Xenopus tropicalis: one gene and its partner. The protein of the gene in region 1 interacts with the protein of each later gene in a biochemical or structural test. Links are inferred from orthologs where the notes say so. Each region holds a gene or a part of one and is shown in the gene's direction. Other genes may lie near its edges.

Region 1 (3,829 bases):
GATGTAGTGGCCCTAAAGTGATGAGGCTAATGGATTTCATTTTAAGTTGTAACAGCATATTAATCAGTCTTTAAATTGCAGGCCTGATGGACATCAAAACAACCTGCGAAGTGCTGCCTATGAAGCTCTAATGGAGATAGTTAAGAACAGTGCCAAGGACTGCTACCCCGCAGTACAGAAAACCACCCTAGTAATAATGGAGAGGCTACAGCAAGTACTTCAGATGGAGGTAGGAGTTGAAAGCATCTGCTGCGTGAGACTAGTTTGTGTTTTGTAGCCAGTAGAGCTCTTATATATTCCACCCTCCTTTTCTTTCCACAGTCCCACATACAGAGCACTTCGGATAGAATCCAGTTCAATGACTTGCAGTCCCTGCTATGTGCTACCCTTCAGGTAAGGACTGTTATAATGTAAGAATTCGAAAGTTACTGGGTGGTTTAAATATTCATAACTAACTTTACATTTCTCAACCTCTTGACAAAGTGTATTACAAATACAGGTTTTGGATCCCTTTTATCTAGAAACCTCTGAATTTGAAAAGTCCATTTCCCATGGAGTCCATTTTATAGGACAAGGCAACTCAAAATATAATTTTTTGCCTAATAAAAGAAACCAAAACTCTAAGCAGCTTTGCAATATACATTTATTACAAGTTTGTAATGGTTTTTGGGTTATTTGTATTTATAATTGCTATTAGAAGCAGTGTTTGCCTGTCCTTTTCTATTCTCTGCCCTGGGGGCTCAGACTGTTGAAACATTGTAACACAAGGCAGCAGACTGACAGATCTGTATTGCTGGAGAAGCAAGACCTTTGCAACATTGTTTAAAATGTAACAACCAGGAGCTCAGCAAATGCTGCTTTCAATAGCAATTACATTTACAAATAACGTTTAAAAGCGCTACAAATATTTAATTATTTCATATTGGAAAGTTGCTTAGAATTATGTTTTCTTTCATTATGCAAAACATTATTTTTGGGGTTGACATGCCCCAAATCTAATTTCTAAATTATTTTTTTTCTGGAGTAATAAAACAGCACTTTGTGCTTAATCCTAACTGAGCTGCGTCAATCCATATTGGTGTCAATGCAATCCTATTGGGTTTATGTAATGTTTAAATGTTTTTTTTTTTTTTTTAGCAGGCTTAAGGAATGGGTTATCCAATATATAATATTCCTTATCTGGAAAGCCGATCCCAAGCATTCAAGATCATAGATTTTTCCTATACCTGTATAATTATTGAAGGCTGCAACCTTTTAGTACATGCCTGGGACAAGACGACTTTAGGTCTCCAGTATTTTCACAGCGAATATAAAATTTAAAGAAACATTAACATCAAAAAATGAAAAAATTTGAAAATGAATTCAAATATAGGGTGTCTATTTCCTGTACTGGTAGTTGTACGTTTGCTTAAACACTTCTATAGATTATATGAATAAGCTGATTTATAGCCATGGGGCAGCTATTCAAGCTGAAATAGGGCTAAATGGCACAGGCTACATAGCAGATAAGCTCTGTATGATACAATAGATTTAGGCCTTGTGCAGAAATATAAACCCACTTTTGCAGGTTGAATATCTTCCCCTATGGCTGCACAGCAGTATTTTCATACTGGTAAAAAGCCAGTTTTACCAGTGCAGGGAAACCGTATGTTATATTTTAATACTTTTAAACACTTTGATATATTTTTTTGGTGTTACTGTTTCTTTAAGGGGAGTATGTTATCTGCACTGTTATGTTCCCTGGCGGCTTCATTTGACAACTTGAAACCCACACTGAAATGCAAGCTGCCTGCAGTACTGCAGCAAGATCTTACATGGTGACTCAGTCTAAGTGGAACTGTCGATCCTTGTGAGCACAAATCAAGCCCTGATTTTAAAAGGTGTTGCTATCATGCAACCTCTATTGCTCCCAGCCCCTACCTGTATAAATCCCACAGCGTTTTACAGAGTGAAGACCCTGACTAGTTTTAAATGGGCCCACAAACACCATAAACTGCAATACGCTTATCCAAAGACTCCTATAAATCCTGAAAGACTCCCATATCCTAATAAATTATGAGGAAATATGGAAGCAAACTGAACATTTTTGTGCAGTAAACTGCAGTCATTGCGCTGGTATCATAAAGTACAAGGAAAGGTACAATCACTTACCAGGTATCCCAGGCCGGTGCTCATTAGTAGAAAACTGCAACAGTCCAGTGTACACATTTTGGTAACCCCCAATGATTGTACTTTTCCTTTATACAAATTACCTTGAATATATGGTACAACACTAAAACCAGTATACGGTATTTACAGTTTCTTAACACACCCCATTTCCCACTTGGATGCATAACCCCTCCAGGTTTGACCATTTGGCTTGTACACTAAACTTTAATGGAGTTGTGGTAAGGAAACAAACTATCCTACATATTTGGTGGTCATATTATCTATGTGCAAAATATAGGGGTGCTTCTGTCACACATTGTGCACTGTATGTGCAGTTGTTATAATACCTTCTGGAACTTTTGACAATACAAAGACTTTACAATATAGAGCAGTTGTCTTGAAAATAATAATTGCGCAAAGAAACGAGACTAATCAGCAGTTTGTTCATGTTGTCTGTGAAGCTCTGGGCAGTGGCTCATCGTGAACATGAAGTTCCAACAATGTAACATGAAATTATTGATTTCATTATGGTGGCTACTGCCATGTCTCAGCCCTTGAATATGAACTTCCCCTACCTGTGTTAAGCAAGTGCTTTCCGGCAAGCAAGAAAATGCATCCATGTGGCAAGAGAAACCTCTTATACTTGTTTTTATGTATCAGAATTGTTTTTATACTTTCTTAATCTGTATATCCTATTATGGTTTTCTCTAGAATGTGCTGAGGAAGGTGCAACACCAGGATGCCCTACAGATATCTGATGTTGTGATGGCCTCATTGCTCCGCATGTTCCAGAGCACTGCAGGTTCTGGGGGAGTACAGGAAGATGCCCTCATGGCAGTCAGCACCCTAGTGGAAGGTAATGGTGCCTGATGTGGTTGCAGTACAACCTATGTGTAAGATTGATGTTTGCAAAGTTTGGCACAAATAGAAATCAATATGAATGCAGTGGTTGTCACAAAGTAAAGTGTAGTCGTAATTGCATACTATTACAAACCACTGTTTCATTTATTGCCCTGGTTTTGTCCTATAGTTACATAGGGTTGAAAAGACGACCAGAGTCCATCAAGTTCAACCCTTCCAAGTAAACCCAGCACCCACAAACCTATACAGACCTATATCTATACACTCGCATACATAAACTATATATATACCAACAACAATACTAACTGTGGAGTTTATGTTGGTATAAATCTCATTACTGATGCCAACAGTGGCTAGTGGAGAATGTCATCTTGAACAATTATGTCACATAGATGCCATAATGACATGTTACTTATTTTTCATTAAGTATGGGGTTTGCATTCCTGTTTTATAGTGCTTGGAGCAGAATTCCTCAAGTACATGGAAGCATTTAAACCATTCCTTGGCATTGGACTTAAAAATTATGCAGAGTATCAGGTAAGATGACATTCCTGTTTGCCAAACTCTCCCACCTTGGCCCGCACTGGCAGGTTGTAGATTCTGGAAAATGCTAAGCCAATTTTTAATCTATTAGGACTCCCCCATGTGATTGTAATCTAAATGGAGATTAAATGGCATATTAAATACCCCAGTCGTTTTGCAGTGTTCTTAGTGTACAAAAAAGCCCTAGAAACGTCTAGTTGCTGGAGAGTCTCTGGATGACAAGTTCATGCACCACACAGAAATGTTCTGTTGATTATGAATTTCTGAAGACTTCTTC
Region 2 (3,829 bases), on another chromosome or scaffold:
TTCCTTATCCACAGTCAAGCTTTGCCCATTAAGTATAATGAGCCTTCCTTCCTTCAATAGGAAACCAGTCTGAGGTGTCTACGATGCATGCTTGATTGATTTCCATTGGAGCTGGAGGCAGCAAATAACCACAGTAGACACCTATTCAACCGGCTTCTTATTCAAAGGAGAAGGGAGGCTCATTATACTAAGAGCTCTGGCACACAGGGAGATTAGTCGCCCGCGACAAATCTCCCTGTTCGCGGGCGACTAATCTCCCCGAAATGCCATCCCACCGGCAAAATGTAAATCGCCGGTGGGATGGCATACGCGGCAGCACGATTTCACTGATCGCGGGCGACTAATCTCCCCATGTGCCAGAGCCCTTAATGGGTGAAGCTTCACGTTAGAAAAGGAAGTTTCTGCAGCATGTTTCACCACGGGATGCACTGAATCCACAATTCGGTTTGGGATTAGGCCAAGATTCGTCCGAATCCACAGTCCTGGCTGAACTGAATCCAAATCCTAAAAATCACGTAACTTTAAACTTCTGTGTTTACGTGACAGATTTTTTACCATGTGCTTAGCGTGGGCGACATTTAACCATTCCAAAATCTAATTAGCATATGTTAATTAGGATTCTGATTCGGTCCAATATTCGGCTGAATCCTGTACGAAGGATTCAGGGGGTTCGGCCGAATCTGAAAAAGTGGATTCGGTACATCCCTAGTTTACTTATTCTTATTTAAGAAACTGGTTTCCTCCTGTATTGCTTGGTGTGTAAGTAATTTCTCTTCTCCCATAAATTTCCTACCGTGTGTGTGTAATACACTTGACTTTAACTTGCTATGCTTTGCCTATATGTGTACCCTATAACTCAGAAAGATGCATGGGGGTATCTCTGTTAGGAAACATTGGTTTATGTATGCGTACTGTTACTTTTCGATTATGTATTGAAGGGGTTCTGAAAAGCCCAGTCCCCCACCCTTAGTGCTGTATTGGGTGTGTAAGGCATTTAATTATCCTTTAGCGGCAGCCCCATACTGTCCCACTGGTAGAATAATGCCTCTGATTGTCTGATGGAAAGCAGTAGAATCCTTGTCTTGTTTTAACAAACGTCAACGAAAAAGCATAGAATGTAAAGTGGTCCTTCTTGTATAAAGGTTATAAAAGATGTTTATATCAAAATGTATAGGTACTTTATATTTTATCGAGCAATAGGTGAAGCCACTATACTGTATGTAGAACAAATTGGCTAATACATCTTTCTGTCGTATGCAGGTGGAATACCTTGTGCAGCAAAATGTTATCCCGCCCTTCTGCAGTTTGCTGTCTGTGAAGGATTCCCAAGTTGTACAGGTTGTTCTGGACGGTCTGAAAAACATTCTTATAATGGCAGGGGATGAGGCCAGTACCATTGCTGAGATTATTGAGGAATGTGGAGGTAAGGACTGGATTACTATCAGCTGGATCAGTACAGTAGAACTCACTGGCCAAGTGCAAGTCCCTAGTGTTGCTGAATTAGATGGAAGTTGCATCATGTAACTTTATATACTCATTTAACTGTCCATAAAGATGAGTTGAAGTGGCAGTTGATCTGGCTACAGTTGATACCAAAATGCAGGTTTCAATTGTTTACGCTTCTAAAAGAATTCTTTGTTGGGTTCTTCATTTTAATGCAAGGTTATTACCTGGGTCATAACTTTGAAGGGGGCCCCAAACCATAGGGTAAATTGCACCCTAGCAACGAGCTGCCCTAATTTTAAACTGAAGAGCTGAAGAAAAAACGAAATAATGGAAATGCAGAAAATTTTCAAGATTATTTGCAGATTGTCTCAGAATATCACTGTCCACATCATACTAAAAGCTAAACGCCTTTAGGAGTTGTACTGCTATGTATAAATACATATGTAATGAACAACCATTAGTTGGCTCTGATTGTTTTCCCCCTGAGCTTAGGCTTTCCTGTTAGGGTGGTGGCCCATGGGGAGATTAGTCACCTGCAGTTAGATCTCTGGACGAGGGGAGACTAATTTTCCTGAAATGCCTTCCCACCAGCTTTAAAGTGAATCACTAGTAGGAAGGCAAACACATTGCACCAAGTTTCCTCCTGCAGCTTTTGCCATTTTCATGAAAAAGTGACATTTATAAGGCTTTTGGCACAAGCACTGTGGTCCTCTTGGGAATAACATGTCGAACAACTCTAACTCGCCAGCTGCTGGTCCATGGGCTTCTTGTGTCTGTTGCTGTCAGACTGGGATCCCACTGGAGTTCAGAAATGAAAAGAGTTGTCTGTAGGCAGAAAACATGTTTGTGATGTATTGTGGGCTAAAGAGAGGATGTCATTTCACTTTTAATGTTCAGTTAAATATGAGCTGACATTTTTCCTTATGTTGTGGTTATGGATGCCCTGCAGCAGGTCCCCTTGAGGAATATGTGTCCGTAGAGTGTAGTAATGCCTAGAGTGTAGTAATGCCTTGCATGGATAAATTATGATAAAAATGGCAGAATGCATCACTGCCTCTGAAAAGTAACAGACCTATTGGTGCAGCAGCAAACACCATGTAGCAATCCTAACCTAAACCTAACCGATATCAAGATGTATTTCTAAATGTCTTGTTCCTGTGTTCTCCTGTAGGACTGGAGAAAATAGAAGCACTGCAACAACATGAGAATGAAGAAATCTACAAACTAGCATTTGAGATCATAGACCAGTATTTCTCTGGTGATGATGTAAGTGCCTTGTCTCTTTTCTGGGTATAGCAATGCCTTTTTATTTATAAATGGGGGTTTAGCATTAAGTACCTGCAAAACCTCTCCCCTCGGTCTTTTAGAACCAACCAACGGTGGCCAAGGTGCAAAATTACAATGATTGTTTTCATGTTCTTGCCTGCAGATTGATGAAGATCAAAGCCTTGTTCCCGAAGCTACCCCAGGAGGTACATATCATTTTGAACCAACAACCAGTCTGCAAACAAAGGAATTCAACTTCTAAGTATGTTGCTGTGCAGCTTTTCTGTCCCTCAGCATACGGCACCACCAGACATCAACCCGCTGAAGAAACATAAAGGCTTAAAGATACACACGCCTCTTCGTTTTGATGCTTCTAAAGCAAACCATGTTTATCTGTCACCTTGCAGTTGCCAAATGTCACATTCACACGGACTGTAATTGCATATGCATGATCTCGGTTTCCTTTGAAATTCTGACAGTCCCAACTCTATCTCCTGCCTTCTCCATTCAGCACCATGTGCTGACCGCCACAACATTCTTCTGTTCGATTATTCCATAGTGGTGGCATATCAGCTTACTGTGGGAAAAGTAGCTTCTCTTGAATCTGGTGCACTGTACATCGAGACTTTGGTATGATGCCTACGTTTTGGAAGAATTGCAGGAGTAGTCTGCTCTGAGCCTCCATCTTCCTACATGAACATTTTCATATTTTGTGGAACTAAGAAATTTAATGGAAAACAAAAAAAAAAAAACATGCAAGCCAAAATATTTCATTCGCAAAACCGAATAAAGGTTTTACTTGGGTGATTCAGTGAAAGAAATTGTTTAAGAGAAAGAAAACTGTAGTTCTGTCTCTAATTGGTGTTTCCTAAACTGCCTCACAAGTCAGGATTGGGAAAAAAAACGGAACTATTTCTAAGCAAAATGCTTTGTATTCTTTTTGAACATCATGCCGTATTTGACCACTCCTACATACATATCCTGCTGTTTTGAAGTAACCAAAACTGTGCATGGAGTTGCCTCTGAGCTTCTAGAATATGTCTGTATCTGAAGCTGAAAGCAAGAGTCCCTTACAACTAAAACTATACTGAGATTTTGACTAGAACAAATGTAAAAT

The links.
Region 2: the proteins of kpnb1 (region 1) and kpna3 form a complex in vitro, tested with the Homo sapiens proteins (2 studies listed by BioGRID and IntAct, with this or other methods). The link is inferred for Xenopus tropicalis from reciprocal best matches to the Homo sapiens genes KPNB1 and KPNA3.

What each region holds. Positions count from the first base shown.
Region 1 is NC_030686.2:10,824,044-10,827,872, reverse strand, and holds part of kpnb1 (importin subunit beta-1), read left to right. Parts: intron 1-81; coding exon 82-229; intron 230-321; coding exon 322-393; intron 394-2,859; coding exon 2,860-3,004; intron 3,005-3,463; coding exon 3,464-3,546; intron 3,547-3,829.
Region 2 is NC_030678.2:149,369,141-149,372,969, reverse strand, and holds the end of kpna3 (importin subunit alpha-4), read left to right. Parts: intron 1-1,260; coding exon 1,261-1,423; intron 1,424-2,617; coding exon 2,618-2,712; intron 2,713-2,875; coding exon 2,876-2,974; 3' UTR 2,975-3,464; downstream 3,465-3,829. UniProt on the Homo sapiens protein: Functions in nuclear protein import as an adapter protein for nuclear receptor KPNB1. Binds specifically and directly to substrates containing either a simple or bipartite NLS motif.